5 linked regions of the Xenopus tropicalis genome follow. The protein of the gene in region 1 interacts with the protein of each later gene in a pairwise test. Links are inferred from orthologs where the notes say so. Each region holds a gene or a part of one and is shown in the gene's direction. Other genes may lie near its edges. The genes, in order: sf3b4, hnrnpul1, mettl17, ppp1r16b and cwf19l2.

Region 1 (4,437 bases):
AAAATCAGTAGTTATAACCCATATACTGGGCAAAATCAAACTGATCAGATGGTTATGATCCAACAACTGTATCACAACCTAGGACTATGGGACAATGTTGTCAAAGCTGCCAGCTTATACTGGGGAGGCCAACCAAACTGTCATCTTACATTGTCCTGTGTACAATCAGGATAAAAGAGAATAAAAGCCTGGTTAGTACCTTTGTCCCTTCCTAAACCCCACCAACAGGGACCCCCAAACCTGCTTAGTTGTTGTATCTGGTTAGAAGAAGAAAAGTGCAGGTTTGGCAGCTGCCATCTTGGGCTGCTCTGGCTCCCCTCACTACTGCTCCACCAGTCTGCTTTTTATATCCAGGGGCAACAAACAAGGAGTTTTTGGTACCAAGGCATTCACCAGGCTTTCAGTTACCTTTAACATTAAAGGTTTAAAAATATACATCAGACACAATAGTCAAATCTACTATTTGGCCAATAAGACTTTCTTGTCTCACTAAATTCTCAACCAACAGACATCTCTATGTAAAAGGGGAGGAGCATTGGTCTTTACATGTGACCCTTGTATGTTCCTTTAGGGTGAAGACACACAGAGCTACTAGTAGCAGCTACTTTTTCACAGCTACTAAACGCCAAAAAATCCCCTGCCATAGACAATACTGAGAATTCCCTCTGCTAAGGGCTCTGGCACACGGGGAGATTAGTCGCCCGCGACAAAACTCCCTGTTCGCGGGCGACTAATCTCCCTGAGTTGCCTTCCCCTGCCATCCCATCGGCGACAATGTAAGTCGCCGGTGGGATGGCACACGCGGCGGCGCGATTTCCCGAAATCGCCGAAAAAGATTTGGGAAATCGCGCCGCCGCGTGTGCCATCCCGCCGGCGACTTACATGTTTGCCAGTGGGATGGCGGGTCATGACAACTCGGGGAGATTAGTCGCCCGCGAACAGGGAGTTTTGTCGCGGGCGACTAATCTCCCCGTGTGCCAGAGCCCTAAAACACATTGAGACTGTTATCAGTAAATGATCAGCATTGTCTATTTAAGTAGCGACTACAAGTAGTTGCTACTAGTAGCTCCGTGTGTCTGCACCCTTAGCTCACACCAGGGACCCTTTAATAATCCTTGGTGCCCATAGAAACAATGAAACACCCTCTATGCGCTGACAATACTGGCACATTTACTGTAAAATCTTAAAAAAATATAAAAATAAATAAATAACCCCCTCAGAGTTTACTACACGTTTACTTTTAGCTTTGGGGTTTCATTACAATACAAATATCTCCGCCGGAAAGCATTGACTGCATAAGGCATGTTAATAAAGTTATTCCATCTAAAAAAAAAAAAAAAAAGTGGTTGCGGAAGTAAGCGTTCTGAGGCCGGAAGTAGGGAAGCGGAAACTGAAGCAGCGAGGTGGCTGAGTGGTTGGCGGCGAGAAAATGGCGGCTGGGCCGATATCTGAACGGAACCAGGGTAAGGAACGTACAGACTGCGTATGGGCTGCATGGGGTGATTGGGGCGGAGGGAACTGTTATGCCGGGGGGGCTGGAAGTAGGGGTATCCGGGGTTTACAGGGAACAGTAAGAGCTCAGAGCAGGGGGAGGCGGGCTGCACTGTGTGCATGAGGTGCAGGCTCCATCTCTGTGCAAAAGTCATTTGGACACAAAGCTGTTCTTATAATATCGGCAGCCCGGCCTGTAACTGTACCTGAATCTACACAGAAACATTGATCTGCTTCTTCCCCACCAATACAGTTTATAGTGCTATCCCCATAAACACTGTGTATAATGCACAGAACTAATGCTAAGCAGCCTCCCTATATACATTCATTACACATTTCCAACGTTTATAAAGTTTCTTGCAAAATATAATTGTTAGCGAAAGCCGTCTGTCTTATTATAGTCTACACTGCTGGTTCTGACTTCTGAAACAATGTAACAAAGGCCAGGGCTATTAAACTATGAAATGGTTTCAAGAATAAGAAAGGGGCAGATAGATACTACTTCCAATAGCAATAGCATTTACCTTTGAACCACTGATTTTTTTTATTACCGTATATACTCGAGTATAAGCCGATCCGAATATAAGCCGAGGTACCTAATTTTACCTAAGAAAACTGGAAAAACTTATTGACTTGAGTATAAGCCGACCAGTTACATGGGAGTAGGAGAAACAATAGGTTACCTCAAAGCTGTTCTATCTCATGGTGGCGATTTGGGACATCAGTGCCCGACAAGACAAGGATGAGACACCCACAGAATGGCCACCCAGCACCCTGCTATATTTCAATGAGACCCAAAGCAACTCCCGGTGTGCAAGTGAAGCAGCGGTACCTTGCGGTGTGCCCTGTCAGCAGCGCCAGAGGATCCGTAAGCCCAGCATTTACGCTGCTCTTTAAATAAGCGGCGGCGCTCCTCTTAATTCCAACCTGTGTGTCTGCAAGGAGCCGTCATGTAATCGCCTCGCCAGCTGCCGTGTGACAAGGGTTAAAGAAACAGAGCGCTCTCGGCACAATTATTGCAATAAGCAGCACACCCGACAGCAACAAGACACCACGGTCCGGGAGTTTGGCGCTGTTTGGCCGGTCCTTAGAGTTGCGGGACAACCTCAATAAAGTCCGCGAACGGGTCCTTCGCTATCTGGCGGTAGTCCGAGCGCTATCTTCCGCTACGTCACAGGTGTGCAGGCAGGTTCGCATGCAACGAGCAGCTGCGAAACCATTTACCGTATATATACGCGAGTATATGCGCGAGTATAAGCCGAGGGTTCCTTTTTCAGCACATTTTTAGTGCTGAAAAACTCGGCTTATACTCGAGTATATACGGTATATATATATGTTGGAAAGTTGATGAAAACTTTCTCTCGTTATCTTTCGGGTTTATAGGTGGATATCTCCAGGGTTGTAAAGGGAAAGCTAAACCCTGTAGCAAGGAGAGTTTGTATTACAAGGATTAAAGGAACAGTAACACCAAAAAATGAAAGTGTATAAGGGCTCTGGAACACGAGGAGATTTGTCGCCGGCGATTTTTAAAAGAGCGATTTGGCGACAAGACACCAATGCTAAATCAATGGAAATTGCCAGCGTCAAAACATACGAGGCTACTTCAGATCGCCTGCTGTTTCAAGTCGCACACAGACCCTTTTCTGAGCGACTTGAGGGGGGTTAACTGTTGAGTGTACCATGGGTAGCAGATCGCCTGGAGCTCAACTCGCATGAAATCTCTTTGAGGGTATTCTCGTGGCGACTTGTCGCCAAAGCGCCAGGGGGAAAAAACGCAGACGACAAATCTCCTCGTGTGCCAGAGCCCTAAAAGTAACTAAAATATAATGTGCTGCTGCCCTGCACTGGTAAAAGCTGTGTGTTTGCTTCAGAAAGTCTACTATAATTTATATAAATAAGCTGCTATGTAGCCATGGGGGCAGCCATTCAAAGGAGAAAAGGCACAGGCACATAGCAGATAACAGATAAAACACTATTGTATTCTACAGAACTTATCTGTTATCTGCTATGTAACCTGTGCCTTTTCTCCTCTTTTCCAGCTTGAATGGCTGCCCCTGTGGCTACACAGCAGCTTATCATATAAATTATAGTAGTGTTACTGTAGCAAACACACCAGTTTTACCAGTTCAGGGCAACAGTGCCTCGGATCTATGATCTGTGCATTTATTCAGAGTGTAACGGGGATATTTAAAGAGAAGGTGGAATAGCTGATTTGCCGTGTACTATAACTTTTTTTTTTTTTCTTTTTGGATTTAGATGCCACAGTGTATGTCGGAGGCCTGGATGAAAAGGTGTCTGAGCCTCTTCTATGGGAGCTCTTCTTGCAAGCAGGGCCTGTAGTGAATACACACATGCCCAAAGACAGGGTCACGGGGCAGCATCAAGGTAAGATTGGCACCTCTTAACCATTATTTCTTATAGCTGTGTATAGGCAGGAATGGAGGGGAATGCTGTGGAGAAGTTGTTGCAATTTGTAACAAGAATGTTTTAGTCCCTCCTCCCCTGCCAGGATTTCAAATGATGCAGAAAGAGAAGAACTGTTTTGCAGCTGGATTTCAGCATATAAAAATGGTATTTATTCATGCTTTTTGAAGGAACAGATTACAGGGTATTTTGGGGGTTTCTGTGTGCGGGAAGCAATAGTTTCCACATCGTTTGATCATGGTTAAAGCAACATATCTACTTGGTCACTGTCTCTTCCCATTTGCCTGAATGGGGAAACACCACAGGTGTCCTGGTGAAAATGTGTGCTGGATCCAAAAGCATCAGGGTGAAGACACACAGAGCTACTAAGTAGCAGCTACTTTTTCAAGGCTACTAAACCCCAGAAAATCCCATGCCATAGACAACTGAGAATTGCCCCTGCTAAAACACACGTAGAGACAATTATCAGTAAATGACCAGCACTGTCTTTTTTTTTTTTTTAGTAGCCACAACAAGTAGCTG
Region 2 (3,555 bases), about 50 Mb from region 1:
TCCCGAAAAAATTATTTCCATTATGAATTATAGAGCAGAGAGAAGCTCTGCAGTCTTAGTTATAAATGTGTGGTTAACTTTATATTTATAAATATAAAAAAGGGGTTAAAGGAGACATTTTATATAAAGTTCATATTCAGTTATAATATTCATCCTCCCTCAAAATGTGAAATGATGCGGAAAGAAAGATGTTTTGAAAGCATTTTACCTCCTAAAACTGCCATTATATGAGAGCTGCATACACAAGCTCACTGATCAGAAGTCAGAGCCAAATGAGACATAGGAGTGTCGCTACAGTCTCCCACAGGAACTGGTCACAGCACTGACTGACTCAGCAGCAGCAGGGAAAACCCCTCCCTCCTTCTGTGTCTCTCTGCTTGTGCTGCTGCCAGGGGAGGGGAGAGAAACAAGCAGAGCAGGAACAGACTGTCTGTGAGCTCGCTAAGCCCCACCCACTTCCTTCTGTTTTACAGTTTTTTACATGGTTTAGTGCATTGTAAAAATTTATGCTATATATCCCCTTTAATATTTGTAATAAAGTGATAATCATTTGTGAGAGAACAAGACTTATGTATATGTGTCTCATCCTATATATCTGAAAAGATGTAACCAAGGTTTTATGGATAGTTACAGTTTTATCATGAAAACATCTTTCTTATGATATTAACCAGTTAACTAAGGGCTCTGGCACACGGGGAGATTAGTCGCCCGCGACAAATCTCCCTGTTCGCGGGCGACTAATCTCCCCGAGTTGCCATCAGAGAGCCGTCAGTTGCCATCCCACCGACGAACATGTAAGTCGCCGGTGGGATGGCACATTTCGGCAAATCGCCGAAAATGCCTCGCGTGGCAACTTCGGTGATTTGCCGAAATCACCTGCGCAGCGTGTACCATCCCATCGGCGACTTACATGTTCGCCGGTGGGATGGTAGTTCAGGGAGATTAGTCGCCCGTGACAAGGGAGATTTGTCGCGGGCGACTAATCTCCCCGTGTGCCAGAGCCCTAAGGGTTTTTCCTAAGAAGTCCAAATCTTTAAAGGTCTTTTAAGTTATGTCTCCCTTCCTGTCCAGTCAGTTTCACATCAGTCAATACCAGCATTTTACATTAGTCCATGGCTGCTTCTGTTTATCAGTTGGTAACAGATAAACTGTGCTTAATCCCATTTTTCTGTTATCTGCTGTGTAACCTGTACCTTTTCTTCTGTTTTACCTTTGAATGGCTGCCCCTGTGGCTACACAGCAGCTTGTTTATATAAACTATAGTAAAGTTTCTGAAGCAACCAAACCAGTTGTTCATGTCCAGGGCAACAGTACATTATATTTCAGTTACTTTAAAACACTTTCATTTATTGGTGTTACTTTTCCTTTAAGCCTTGATATGTTATTTACAACTATGCATTTGCTACATGTTTATGGTCACAGTCAAAAAAACATCTTGGCTAATAAAACAAATTAATTGTTATTGGGTGCCTTCTGCCTCTATAATAACATATATATGGATAGACAAGGAGTAAAATAAAAGAATTCTCCATATAATTTTCATATCTTGACCTCCAATCAGGTAATGGGTCTGCGAAGGCAACGTAATTATGCAGGGCGCTGGGATGTCCTTATACAACAAGCAACACAGTGTCTGAACCGTCTTATCCAGATTGCAGCCCGGAGGAAACGAAATTACATTCTGGATCAGGTAAAATAGATTAATAACATAATCCTAGATTCAGTTGTAGCTGCAGTGTTCAGTACATGACCTATACAAGTAGGACCTTTGGTGTTTTTTTCTACACACAGACAAATGTTTATGGGACAGCTCAAAAAAGGAAGATGCGTCCATTTGAAGGCTTTCAGCGCAAAGCCATCATAATCTGTCCCACAGATGCAGACTTGCAGGACCGTATAGTAAAACGTACAGATGAGGAGGGAAAGGATGTTCCAGACTCTGCTGTATTGGAAATGAAAGGTAATTCCCATTTTCATTATATCAGCCTCCTCATAATGTGTTTTTCAACATCCTTAACATTTTAATATGGTTGCAAAAAAACTATAAATGTTTTTTACTGTCAGTTTAAATATGTTATGATGGATGTGCAAATGGGTGTGAATGACTACTGCTGTTAAAGTGAAACTCATCCTTTATAAAAATAAAGTTAAGTAAAAGTTATATTGCCTAGTAGTTACATTATGGGGCAGATTTATTAAGACACGAATTTGAATCCCGAATGGGAAAAATTCGTATTGGACACGATAATTTCTGAAGATCGCAAAAATCGCGAATATGCTTATGAAAAAATTGTATTAGTCATGATAATATCGTATTGGCGATCCGAAAGTCACAACATTTTCGTATACGAACGATCGTAAAATGCAGGAAAACCTTTCCGACTTTGATCCTTCTGTGCATGATTTTGGAAGCCTCCCATAGGACTCAATGGCACTCTGCTGCTCCAACCTGGCCCAAGGAAAGTCTCCCATAGGGCTCAATGGCACTCTGCAGCTCCAACCTGGCCCAAGGAAAGTCTCCCATAGGACTCAATGGCACTCTGCTGCTCCAACCTGGCCCAAGGAAAGTCACAATACTGAAGCTTGAATGAATCTGAAACTTTCGTACTCGTTGCAACAATACAATTTTGTCGCATTTTTTTTTTTTTTTTTTTTTTTTTACGCACAGTACGAAAAAGTCGCGTTAAAATGAAAAACCGCCGAAAATACGCAAGCAACGAAAAAGTCGCAGAAAACACAAACGGCCCGATCGAACAAACGATCGAACTGTTCGTGGATTGATAAATCTCCCCCTATGTGTTACAAAGTGCCGGAACTTTCACTGAAAATTAAACTACATCTTGGAGTTTTGAATGTCTGAAATCGTGCTCCTGGGAACAATAGTAATGAATAAAATTTGTTTTGACCTGAACATTACTGTTGTGAACTGGAGCAAACAGGGATGTTTTAATTACATTTGGTATAACGTGAACATAAATGTGAATAAATTGATGTGATTATTTTAGTCCTACTGAGTGTATATGTGTGTGTGCTTTTGGATAGATAAGATTGTGTGCGTGTTATGATAGAAAAAAAGAGTAAATGTAATTTACTCTTTGGTTATAATTTCCTTTTCATTTATCAGAAATTGCTAGAAAGATAGTGAAGTACATAGAAGCAAGTTAAATGTTTTAACGGGTATTTAAGTTCATTTCAGTTTAAATTCCAGTTTTTATTTGTTTTTAAATAAGTTTTAGTGTGATGCAGACATTGATATTCTGCATCACAATTTGCGGTTGGTCTTCAGTTTTTCCCCCAATAACCGTGGCAGGTGATATTGTATTGATTCGATTGTTTGGGCCTCAAGAACAACAAATGCACCAAAGCACTCCTTGTCCCCAATGATTTATCAGGGTCTGAAAAGAAAGATAAAGCTAGAGAATGGCAAAATATTCAATAGCTATAAAAAATGAAGACCAGTTAAAAAGTTGGTAAATATAGGACATTTTACAATATACTTAAAGTTAACTAAATGGTGAACTACCCCCTTCAAGTGCTTATCTTCTGTTTCTTCTT
Region 3 (4,258 bases), on another chromosome or scaffold:
ACCCATTTTTTTAATTAAAATATCCCTATCCTGTCATAAGAATATTTAAAAAATCTCACCTGTCAATCATATACTGCCTGCCCTGCCTCTTTGACTTGGGCATAGTAATCACTTTCATTTTTCATGCTACACTTTCTGTCCCTGTTCTCCTTACATTCCCCCTCTTAAGGTGGCCATACACGCACCGATAATATCATACGAAACCTCATTTCGTACGATATTCGGTGCGTGTATGGTATGTCGGCAAGTCGACCGATATCGCAGGAAGCTGCTGATATCAGCCGACTCGTCGATCGGACCAGTTTGAAAATTTTGATCGGGCGCCATAGAAGGCTCCTGACCAAAATCTCCCTTCAGCGCTGAATCGGCAGAAGGAGGTAGAAATCCTATTGTTTCTACCTCCTTACCTGCCGATTCAGCCCTGAATGGTGTGTGGCGGATCTGACGATGTTTCGTGCGACCGATGGTCGCATGAAACATCGTCAGATTGCCACGTGTATGGCCAGCTTTACTCACTGTCTATAATTCTATTGCCTGGGCAAGTGGGCATGGATGTTGGGTCCCCCATTCTGGTGCATAAACACAAGATTTTGGGATAATGCAAATATTGCCTTAATAATAGTGCCCACAAAATGGCTCTAATTTTGGATTCCAAAAGATTGAAGAACACAAGATTTAAAAAAATGTATATAGAGTAAGTAAAGATTACTTTTCTTGAAAAACCACAATAAAAAGAATTTGGAATTATTCCCTAGGAGACAGATCCCCTTTAAATGGCACAAGCAACATACTTTATGTGTTGGTTATATTACAGAGACAGCCTGCTTTGTACAAACCCAATAAAGCTGTGAGTGGCTGCTGGGAGTTGTAGTGCAAAGCCAGTTGGGGGTAGAGGAGGCAAAGGCTGAATATATAGAGGCACTGACAGGTGTCATACTCAGTGACGCACACATGACTTGTTTACACGGACAGACTACTCACCCCGGGCCTTTCTCGCCCGCCCTTGGACCTTTCCGCTGCGCCCTGACATCTCCACTAAGCGGGGTGCGTTATTGCCCAAACCCACTTCGCTGCAGTATTCCTCTCGTTACGGCCTCTTCTACTCAGTAGTTTCCTCGCCGGCCCCACGCCCCTATTGGTTGCTATGTCAGTGGAGGGAAAATGACGCATATTTTTCGCGCAGGGATTGGTTCATGATTTGCAATCCCATTGGACGTCTGAGAGAGAATTGGAGCATGTTGGGTGCTAAGTACTACTGCCAGTAAAAGGCAACACAGCCGGTGATTGACACTTCTTGCCTGCTTCTGAAACATGCTCTCTTCAAAGATATGCTTCCGCCAGCTCCGGGTAAGTAACTGCGCGTTTGGGCCCAATGCAGATTAACTAGCAATGACATTGTAAGCTTTAACTTTGAGGACACGTTTGAAAGGCCCGCCTCTTATTTAAATGAACCTCACAACGTGTGGGTATTTCTGGGAGTTTTCTGGCTTTAAATTCAACGTTCATTATTTTTAAAATATAATAAAGCCTTACAGACTGCTGAAATTAATTTTTCACACTAAAGTTGTCAACAGGAATACTAATATCACAAAGAATAAAATCTCCCTAATGTAAGAATTTATTGTTCTGGCGGTATATATACGGCTGAGGCGCTGTAAGTAAGAAGAGCGGAAGGGAAGCTCATTGCTGAGGGCACATGCTGGGTGCGTCACATCCGTGTCGTCACTCCAATCATTCCCTCCGGGAAGGTCTGAGACTTGAGCCGCAAGCAGCCCTCGCAGGGCGTCACCCGAGTAACGGGTGGGTGAGTCCCCAGAAACCCCACGCTGGAGTGGAACAGTCCGTAAAGTGGTGGAGGCTATGCAGGAGAAGCGCAATCTGATCGTAGTGGAAGGAGGCGTGCCACAGATTGAGGTACCTCCCACCTCCCATGTGCGACACAGACGAGCTGATGCTGCCTCCTCCCCGGACCTTGGAAGTGGCTCACGGCTGGCACAGTTAGTCCAATGGCTGAGGTGAGGTAGCAGCACGGGATTGGTGCGCACCTCATAACCCAAGTCAGACTACTCTCCCGCCGCTCTTTTATTAGATTTCTCTGTTTTACACCTAATAAAATCATTTCGTCTCATTGCGAACGTCAAAGCTGTCATTTTCTGGGGAGTTCAAGCAATTTGTTTATAGCAACAAGGGCGCTAGTAGTGTAGCTTTTAACCCATAGTTGCAGCGTTTATCGAGCTCTGGTGGGATAGAAAGCTCATTCAAAGCTCAAGTAAAAAAATCTGTTGCAAGTCAGGTCAAAGGGAAGTTAAGGATGGTTCAACTTTGCATTAACTTTTAGTTTGTTCTAGAATGTCATATTCCTACCAACTTTGCAGTTGTCCTTCATTATTTATTTCTTACAGTTTTTAAGTTATTTGCCTTCCACATATTGCCAACTTTTAAAAGGGGGTCACTGACCCCAGTAGCCCAAAAACTTTTGCTCTGTAAACTTACAATTTTATTTATATTGTTATTTTTGTATTACTTATCTTTCTAGTCAGTCCCTTTCCTATTCATATTCCATCCTTGGTTGCTAAGGTAACCAGATTGCTTCTTAAAATCCATGCTGGAGAGCTGCTGAACAAAAAGCTGAAAAAACAAAAACCAATTGCTATGGGCAACAATGCCGGTGATGTTTGTCTCTAATGTTAATAAAAATGCACCTACACGATCATTTAATTGTTAACAACCCCTTTAAAGCTACTCCATGTTTGGTGTTTTTGAGTAAGATACCAGTAAGCAGCACCTCCACTTTACCTTTTGTTGTGACTGTTTTGATAACATGGCAATTATCTGTGTAAGGAGTTGCCACCCACCTGGCAGATATTTTACTTACTGGTAAATCACCTGCCCCTCCAACTAGCTTTTATCAACCTTAACATCAAGTTAATGTAAGATTGCTCAGAGCACTTTCCTAAGCACTATTGTAATTTATATTAATGCGCAATTATGAGCAGTTTTACATGAATTTGTTTCTAAAATGTCATTATCCTTTAAATAGTTCAGTATCAGTGTTCCCTCTAATTCCTCAATGGCTATGTGTGGGGAAAAAAATCTATTTTGTGTGCACATTTTAAATTTGTGTGTGCATTGTTAAAACTGTGTGCTCTGGACAGAATAAATGCAAAATGTTGTGTTTTGACACAATGGGGTTGATTCACTAAAGTGCGTTAAGTCGCATATCACATGCGTTAATTTTCGCACGACCGCATGCGGTAGATTTAACACATGCGTTAATTAGCGCACAGAAAAGAATACTAACAGTAAGGCGCGCTAAATATCGCATTAGGCTATGCGAAAATTAACACCTACTTCAGGCAGGCGATAATTATAGAAAAGTACAGTTCATGAGCTTTTGGCAATAAAATATGGACTTACAGTGTTATTTATTCAAGTCTGTGTTTCCCCTAGAGTGCCAGTTTGCAGCGAAATGGTCATTTTTAATACAGTAATTTTCCTCAAGTATTGGCGAGTATGGCTAACATGGCGTGCGTTTATTCGCGCGACTATTTATATGCGGCTACAAGCGATGAAATGTTTCGCCAGGCATGGATTTGCAGCAAATTTTTGGACGTGCGGCAAATTTTTCCGCGGCAAATTTTTTCATGCGTTTCGCAAAACAATCTGCCAATGGCAAAACGCATGAAAAAATTCGCCACGCAAAAATTCACCGCACGTCCAAAAATTGACACAGGCGTCAAAAAATAATAGTCGCGGGCAACAATTTTTTTGGCCGCACAACATTTTTGCCGTTTCGTGGATCTTTTGAAAGATTTGCAAATTTTTCACCAAAGATATTTATAAGCATCTACTCTTTATATGATACCATTTATATGATACTATTTATATGTGGCTACTATTTATATACACTATTTATATGCGGCGACAATTTATATGCACTATTTAAATGCTACTATTTAAATGCTACTATTTATATGCGGCGACTATACGCGGGCGTTATTTAGCGCATGTAATGTCAACTACCGCACAAAAATAGTCTTCGCAAGTTAAATAACGCATGCAACATCGCACGTAAATTAGCGCAAGTATGCTTATAGTGTATCGTGCGAAAAGTTGCGAAAATTTAGACGCGATAAAATTTATAACGCACACTATAAATAGCGCACGTTTTATCGCACTTTAGTGAATCAGCCCTAATATCCTTTGTGCTTGCCACTAATTTTTTTTGTGCACTCACTTTATAATTCATGCACAGCTA
Region 4 (3,778 bases), on another chromosome or scaffold:
GGGTGAAGGGCCCCCTGCCGGCCCCCCCCCCCTGCAGGGGCCCCTCTAACCCCCCTCCCAGGACCCCCACCTGACGTCCTCCCCCAAGTGCATAAGTTTAAAGCATCAGGGGAGGAACGGTCGGGCAGGGGAGCGCCCACAAGGGTTGGGTCTGAGCCGCTGGGATATTTCCCGGTGTCCCGGCGGCCCAGTCCGACCCTGGGGATACGATTGTTACCTAATTTCTCCCCCTTATATATGTGTTTTTAAAGGAGACATATCATATAAAAATTAAGAATGTACCAGGGAATTATACTCCTCTTTATATAGAAGGATTGTGCTTAAAAAAGTTGTGTTTTGGACTGATTTATGGAGAAATTCCACCAAAACCCCACTAGTCCCGCCCATCTGTTCCACTTCCTGCTGGCTGAATTCTCTGGATGAGCTGGGGAGCCGGCGGCCCTCCGTACCCTGCACTGTAGGATAGGAACCAATCAGCAGCTAGGCTGACCTGATGGGGAACTGAAGCCTGTCTTTGTTTGTATGACTGCAGGGCTGTGATTGGCTTATCCCCCTTATGCTGTGCTTCTGGCAGGGACCGTTAGGACACGCCCACCCTTTATCTGAAACACAGACAGGGACCTGAGAGGATCTATAGGGAGCTCCAATAAAGTGGCCATTTTTGCAGAAAGTATTCAATTGTATCCCAAAGTGAAACCAGCACCATTGCCTGCAAAATTCGTTTTTTTTTCATTTATCCAATATGTCTCCTTTAAGCATTTGTGCTTCCCACTTCCAAATATACCGCAAACTCCCACCAGGCTCTGGGTGCCATTCTTTCCTCTAGTTTTGCCAGCCATGACACAGCAAATATAAGCCAAAACCCAATATAATTCCCCATGGTAATAGGGCAAGCTGATTACGCCAAGCACTGGGACCCATTGTAGAAGCCTGTTGGCTGCCAGTACATGTGGAGAATGTAGCACGGCATCAGCGATGTAGAGTAACTGTTCTTGTGAAATAGGACTAGTTAGGGGCATTTTGAATACAGGTGATTATTGCCACCTTGTGGTTGTTCTTGTGCATAGCATGTGCATCTGCCTTAATCTGTTGCCCTATTTATCCTAAATACTGATCGATTTATCTGCTTTTGGCTGTTCCTTTCTGCCCTGACATAAATAAAAAAGATGACAAACCTTTTGTTCCCACCCCAGCTCCACATAGCAGCGTCTCGGGGCTTCGCAGAGGTGGCTGAGATGCTTCTGGAGAATGGGGCCCATGTTGAAGTGAAGGATCCTGATGTGTGGGAACCGCTACATGCTGCAGCCTTTTGGGGTCAGGTAAGATCTGTTCAATCCTTGTTTGTCGCCATGTTGTTATTTTTAAGCAAATAATACTCATTTTTAAAAATGATGTCCTTTTTCTCTTTAATAAAACTGTAGCTTGTCCTTGATGAAGTTGCATGAATTTATATTGGGTTCCAAACAACCCTATTGGGTTTATTTAATGGGTAAATTATTTTTAGCAGATTTACGGTATGGAGTTCCAAATTATGGAAAGATCCCTTATTTGGAAAACTAATTTCCCAAACATTATGGGGAATAGATTGTACACCTGTAGTCCTAACTAGGGATGCACTGAATCCACTGTTTTGGGATTCAGCCGAACCCTGAATCGTTTATAAAAGATTTGGCCAAATACCGAAACGAATCTGGATCCTAATATGCATGTGAAAATTAAGCTAAGGAAGGGTTAAAAATATTCGAATTCCGTGTTTATATGACATAAAGTCACATGAATTTTAGGATTTGGTTCGGCCAAGCATGTGGATTTGGCAGAATCCGAATCCTGCGGAAAGAGGCCGAAGCTTGGCCAAATCCTGAACTGATTTGGTGCATCCCGAGTCCTAACACCCATTCCTCCACCTAGTCCACTGCCAGTACCATTGTGTGGGAAATGCATACCTAGTTACCAATCTCCTTAATTCCTTCTGCAGATCTACGTAGCAGAGGTTTTAGTCTCACATGGTGCCAGTCTCAGCGCTAAAACAGCCCTGGATGAGACTCCTCTCGGTGAGTCAGGACACTCTCTCTGCCCTGTTTATCTCTTGGAGGGTAGAGGACACCTCTTTATTATCATCTGGTGCATTAGAGCCTTTTGCATCCAAGTGTTTTTCTGTTTTTTTTATTCTCACCCTCTTCCCACCTCTCCATTTGGGCTTAGCTTTGCCTTTGTGTCTCTATGGCAGATCTGTGTGAAGATGAAGAACTTCGCTCCTTGCTTCTGGAACTGAAGCACAAACACGATATCATCATGAAGTCTCAGCAGAAGAACAAGTCTTCTCTGAGCCGCAGAAGTTCCAGCACCGGGAGCCATGGGTCAGTATACTCAGTTACATGGATAGTGTCCTGTGAAATTAGCAAGTGTAGGAACTAAAAGAAGCATAGGAGCATAAGAAAAATGAGATTAAATGTTATATGAAAGTGAGAGGAAATGGGCAAAACCATATGATTGTAGGTAACTTGTTCTAATCTGATGCCCTTGTCCCTTCAGTGTTTGCCTTTCTTCCTATCAGCACCGTCTCTCATCCTTTCTGTGTCTCCTCCCAGTAAGGTGGTGCGGCGCGCCAGCCTGTCAGAGCGGACCAACCTGTACAGAAGGGAATATGAGAAGGAGGCAGTGGTGTGGCAATGTTTGGTGTCTTCAGGGAACACAGAGGGCACCCAGGATGAGGAAGAGAGCAGCCCAGAAGTACAGCAGGTAACCTGACCAGTAACTGCATTGATAGTTAAGAACAGTCATCTGAATAACCAGAAGACAGACAGGGTTCTGGTAGGAGCCAGAAACAATGTGAATCAGTGTTTGAAAGAGACTATAGGACTATAGGGTTTGGAGCTGGGTAGCATGGTTCTGGCTATTGATTGTAATCAGTATTGCTATAGAAGCTGCTTGTAGGCAGCACTGCCCCGGCACAGATTTATGGGGGCTCAAGGAAGGTAGTCCATGCTAAAGTGCACCTGGCACTAACCCAGAGATCACATGGCTAACTGCCACCTATTACTGCTATAAAGAGCAGACTAACTGCCGCTCATTACTGCTGTAAAGAGCAGACTAACTGCCGCCTACTACTGCTGTAAAGAGCAGACTAACTGCTGCCTATTACTGCTGTAAAGAGCAGACTTACTGCTGCCTATTACTGCTGTAAAGAGCAGACTAACTGCCTCCTATTACTGCTGTAAAGAGCAGACTAACTGCCGCCTATTACTGCTGTAAAGAGCAGACTAACTGCTGCCTATTACTGCTGTAAAGAGCAGACTAACTGCCTCCTATTACTGCTGTAAAGAGCAGACTAACTGCCGCCTATTACTGCTGTAAAGAGCAGACTTACTGCCTCCTATTACTGCTGTAAAGAGCAGACTTACTGCCTCCTATTACTGCTGTAAAGAGCAGACTAACTGCTGCCTATTACTGCTGTAAAGAGCAGACTCTTCTGTTGACCAAATGGGTTTAGCTAAACACATATGGGGTAATGTGACGGTAAATAGAAAAGGGACAGAACAGAAAGCTACTAACTACATGATACTAAAAGTTAATAAATCGTGAATGGATCTTTGCCCAATTTGGCCACTCATGTGCAGTGCCAAATTATGCTGATCTTTGGTCAATAGGTCTGGAGACCCTTTGGGGAGGACCCTCCATAGGTCAGGAAGGCTGTCCCAATGGCCCAATATACAGGCCAATAATCTGGCAACTTGGATCAGGAGAGGCCAAGTGTCCAGTTTTTATTGGCCTGTGTACT
Region 5 (3,778 bases), on another chromosome or scaffold:
AACTGATTTAGCAAATGGGATGACATACATGTATAAATACAAATATATTAAAAAGGAAAGGTCCAAATAGTCTGCAGTCTAAGGAAACCAGTATGAAAGATAACAACTACTAATTAGGTTTCATTTACTACATATGTTGACATCTTTTTCTCTAGGTATACTTGTGTCTTCCCAACCATCTGTCACTCACAGAGGGACATTGCCTGATCGTTCCATTGCAGCACCACACAGCGAGCACTCTGCTGGATGAAGACATCTATAATGAAATCCAGGTGCTTTTAATAGCGATTCTATATATATATTACTTGTCATGTTAGCGACCTGATTCCATGGATAACACAGCTCATTGCCAGCAGTAACCATACAGTGGCAGTGGAGTGCTTTGAAATATGGGGGATAAAGGAGAAGGCTGCATTATAGTTTAATGGTGTAGATCAATAAATTGAGCAGACTAGAGATGCCTGTAGCTTAAGGTAAGGCTGGGGATGGGTAAGACAGGTGCTATTTAAGCAGTATGCCGCTTTCTAGGTCATACAGATGTATCTGCTGCTTCTTCACCATTTCATATTTATTCAGAAAATACAGAGGTTGTACGATTCTTACATCTGAGGGGCACTGCTATTTGACAATAGTGCTCAAGTTCAAAAGTATGGCAGTTAAAACACCAGCTTGTAACTTACCCCCTTACCAGTTGCATAAACATTCCATAAGCAGAAACAGCACAGTTCCATCACATTAAATATGCTGACGTTTTACATGGTAGATCCCATTTCTAATAAGCAACAAGAACCAATATATTAACCTAATTTCCGGAAGATAAATGAAAACGTGCAGTTGACTTTTATATAAATAAAGGCATATCTGGTTGTTTATGTTCTAAAAGTAAACCTTGTTATTGCTAAAAGAGCAAGTGGCTGCTTCGTCTCTCTCTAGGTGTTCCGGAAAGCCTTGGTCAGGATGTTTGAATCTAAAGGTCTGGACTGTGTCTTCTTGGAGTCAAACATATATGCAAGAAAACGGTTGCATTTGGTCTATGAGTGCATTCCTCTCCCAAAGGAAGTGGGTGATATGGCACCAATATATTTTAAGGTAAATTATCAACTTGCATTCAATTATTAGGAGCAATAGACGGATATAAAGAACCTCAGGTTTATAAAGAAATGAGCCACAGTGCCATGGGAACTAGTGAAGAAAGGTAATAGGGAATTTTTCCCAAAGTAGCCAGATTAAGGGGGTAGTTATGTAAAACAGCATAATAAGATCTAGATATAAGGGTTTGTCATTGTCCCGTCTAATATTGCTTTCTGGGAATGTGGGCATGATAATTGCAAGCTCATTCATTTCATCTGCAGCCAGATGGTGACAGAAGTTGCCAAACTTTAAAGCTGTGTGGTATTCACTCTCTACAACAGTGACAAGCTCTTGCAGATAAAGAGCAAATAGCAACCTGTAGCTATTCTGAATTTCTGAACAACTACTAGCTATTAAAGGAGAAGGAAAATCAGTTTGGCATTTTACTGCCAATAGATTTGCCACATTAGTGCTACTATATTTATTCTGCAGAAACCTTTACCATACCTGAGTAAACAGCCCTAGAAGCTTTCTCTGTTTGTTTAGGAGAGCAGCTGCCATTTTAGCTCAGTTTCCGTAACTGTAGCTGCTGCAGCTCTAGGGGTTGGTAGCTCAGATCACATATTCCTAAGGGAGGGGGAAGCAGGAGAGGGAAGAGAGCAGACTCTGGCCCCAGGAACGAAGGATTTTTCTGAGAGAGGAAATCAGATACCCTAAGAACATGTTTACAAAAAAGTAGACAAGAAATCCTGTGTTTCTTTTGATAGAGGACTCAGTGCAGCATTTCTGTGAGTGCTTATGGCTGTATTTACATAGACCTTTCCAATAAAGCTTACCGTACTTAGTTTTTCCCTTTCTTTCTCCTTTAAATGATACAAACGAGTCATGAGTGAATAGAATAGTTTGTATATAAAGTATGACTCCAGGGGTAGATTTTACATAAGACAGGTGGCACTTCAGTTTATGGTCAGTTGCTGGATGACCCCCCATCCTCAAAAAATGGTGGTGACTTGAGTTGAAATCCTATGCCCAAGCCACATGTGCCTCTTGGAAGCAAAGGAAAGATGGCACTATGCTCTACAGGCCAGTAAGTGATTATGGAAGAGTCAGATAAAGTCTAATTAATGTCACTTACTTACAACAGAAAACTTCTGTAAAATTCACAGGCTACTGGATTATCAGAATCGACCTTTCCAACCTTTACTACTGTACCTTGTCCAACTGTATCTTGGAATAACTAAACTCTGAAAATGAGCCAACGTGTTTCATTCTGGGATCAATAAATTGCCATGACCAATGAGAAATGGCAACAAACTGCACTGTTTGGTCTCCTTACTTGTATTTTTCTCTAAAAAATCAAATGTTCATTAGGAAAAAAATGAACCAAATGAGACTACAAACCCAATCAATGGAATAAGAGTTTGGAGTAACAGTTTAATGGCCACTTTACCTTGACCAGTTTAATACATTGTGTTGTTTCATTCATTTGACTGTTAAGCTCACAGAAACATGTTCCCTTCACACCAGCTACAAACCCATTATAAGAGATTTATGGGCAGATATTGGAGTCACAAATCAGCGGCAGTGTATCCGTCAGCCAACCTACGATGAATTGCAAATTTACTTTAAATGGAGTGTCGTCAATATATCAGATGTTTTTAATGGTTTATACTTTCCAGTTTCGTTGAACATTTGGCTGATAGAGCCGGGTATCACATACATAACGCCCGAAGGTTTCCATGTTACCATCCAGCCGTACATTTAGCCCATTTAGTGAATTCTGGTTCCTTTCAGAAAGGGCTTATTTGCTGATTTTTTATTCCATCTCCCATGTTAACCAATGTATTCATGCGTTTATTTTCATTAAACCAGAAAGCCATAATGGAATCTGATGAGGAGTGGTCCATGAATAAGAAATTAATAGACCTGTCTACAAAGGATATTCGAAGAGCTGTAAGTTTAAAAAAGTCTAAACATTTTACTATCCAAGAGCTGCCATCCCTCTATATTTCCCATCTTTGTCCTCATTATCACATTGAGACATTTCTATGTGATTCTCTTGAAATGAGCACACTCATACTTCTGTTATATGGTGTAATATGGAGGCTGGAGTCTGTTAGAATGTTACATATTCATGTTTTCAAGACAAGGGAGATCAAGATTTATATGGCTTTTTATGGCAGATTTCCAAAAGTATTTAAAAATATGAAACAATAACCATAGTATTGGCTATAAATCAATTGAAGGGTTATGAAACTGAGCAAAAATCAGAGCTTCAATGCAAATCCACAGGCTAAATTGGAAATACATGTATTCCCTTTGTGTTTCCATTGGGGGAGAACCCAAGCATACATAGGCATTTTACTGTTCTGACTAATGATGATGATTTATCTGCTTATATGTTCCAATACGTCTGCTTCTCAGAGCCCAATGTTACACAACAGAGTTTCCTATCATTGCCTGGCTGTAATTATATCTGGCATAATCCACTTTAGAATGTAGCTTAATCTGCATGTATCTAGTGTTTAATCCCCCGCTGATTTCTGTGTGATCGGAACATAGAAATTGGATTTATTTTTTCACTTGAGCTCAGACTTTAAGAGGTCACCAGAGATAATTCTGGATATCCTTGGAATTGGGGTCATAGCCATAAACTGGCTGGGGATGTTTCTCTTTTTATTGCCCTTATCTATTGAATTCTCGTACA

What was found.
Region 2: the proteins of sf3b4 (region 1) and hnrnpul1 interact in binary tests that used the Homo sapiens proteins (3 or more experiments, as listed by UniProt). The link is inferred for Xenopus tropicalis from reciprocal best matches to the Homo sapiens genes SF3B4 and HNRNPUL1.
Region 3: the proteins of sf3b4 (region 1) and mettl17 interact in binary tests that used the Homo sapiens proteins (3 or more experiments, as listed by UniProt). The link is inferred for Xenopus tropicalis from reciprocal best matches to the Homo sapiens genes SF3B4 and METTL17.
Region 4: the proteins of sf3b4 (region 1) and ppp1r16b interact in binary tests that used the Homo sapiens proteins (3 or more experiments, as listed by UniProt). The two-hybrid records come from large-scale screens. The link is inferred for Xenopus tropicalis from reciprocal best matches to the Homo sapiens genes SF3B4 and PPP1R16B.
Region 5: the proteins of sf3b4 (region 1) and cwf19l2 interact in binary tests that used the Homo sapiens proteins (3 or more experiments, as listed by UniProt). The two-hybrid records come from large-scale screens. The link is inferred for Xenopus tropicalis from reciprocal best matches to the Homo sapiens genes SF3B4 and CWF19L2.

Annotation. Positions count from the first base shown.
Region 1 is NC_030684.2:128,887,384-128,891,820, reverse strand, and holds the start of sf3b4 (splicing factor 3B subunit 4), read left to right. Parts: upstream 1-1,393; 5' UTR 1,394-1,429; coding exon 1,430-1,463; intron 1,464-3,747; coding exon 3,748-3,876; intron 3,877-4,437. UniProt on the Homo sapiens protein: Component of the 17S U2 SnRNP complex of the spliceosome, a large ribonucleoprotein complex that removes introns from transcribed pre-mRNAs.
Region 2 is NC_030684.2:79,233,649-79,237,203, forward strand, and holds part of hnrnpul1 (heterogeneous nuclear ribonucleoprotein U-like protein 1), read left to right. Parts: intron 1-1,561; coding exon 1,562-1,690; intron 1,691-1,791; coding exon 1,792-1,960; intron 1,961-3,555.
Region 3 is NC_030677.2:143,417,494-143,421,751, reverse strand, and holds the start of mettl17 (methyltransferase-like protein 17, mitochondrial), read left to right. Parts: upstream 1-1,231; 5' UTR 1,232-1,311; coding exon 1,312-1,347; intron 1,348-4,258. Other genes in the region: parp2 (poly [ADP-ribose] polymerase 2), read right to left, coding at 982-1,030. UniProt on the Homo sapiens protein: Mitochondrial ribosome (mitoribosome) assembly factor. Binds at the interface of the head and body domains of the mitochondrial small ribosomal subunit (mt-SSU), occluding the mRNA channel and preventing compaction of the head domain towards the body.
Region 4 is NC_030686.2:40,347,519-40,351,296, forward strand, and holds part of ppp1r16b (protein phosphatase 1 regulatory inhibitor subunit 16B), read left to right. Parts: intron 1-1,193; coding exon 1,194-1,319; intron 1,320-1,975; coding exon 1,976-2,051; intron 2,052-2,227; coding exon 2,228-2,357; intron 2,358-2,588; coding exon 2,589-2,739; intron 2,740-3,778. UniProt on the Homo sapiens protein: Regulator of protein phosphatase 1 (PP1) that acts as a positive regulator of pulmonary endothelial cell (EC) barrier function. Involved in the regulation of the PI3K/AKT signaling pathway, angiogenesis and endothelial cell proliferation.
Region 5 is NC_030678.2:160,239,996-160,243,773, forward strand, and holds part of cwf19l2 (CWF19-like protein 2), read left to right. Parts: intron 1-155; coding exon 156-272; intron 273-933; coding exon 934-1,089; intron 1,090-2,943; coding exon 2,944-3,024; intron 3,025-3,778.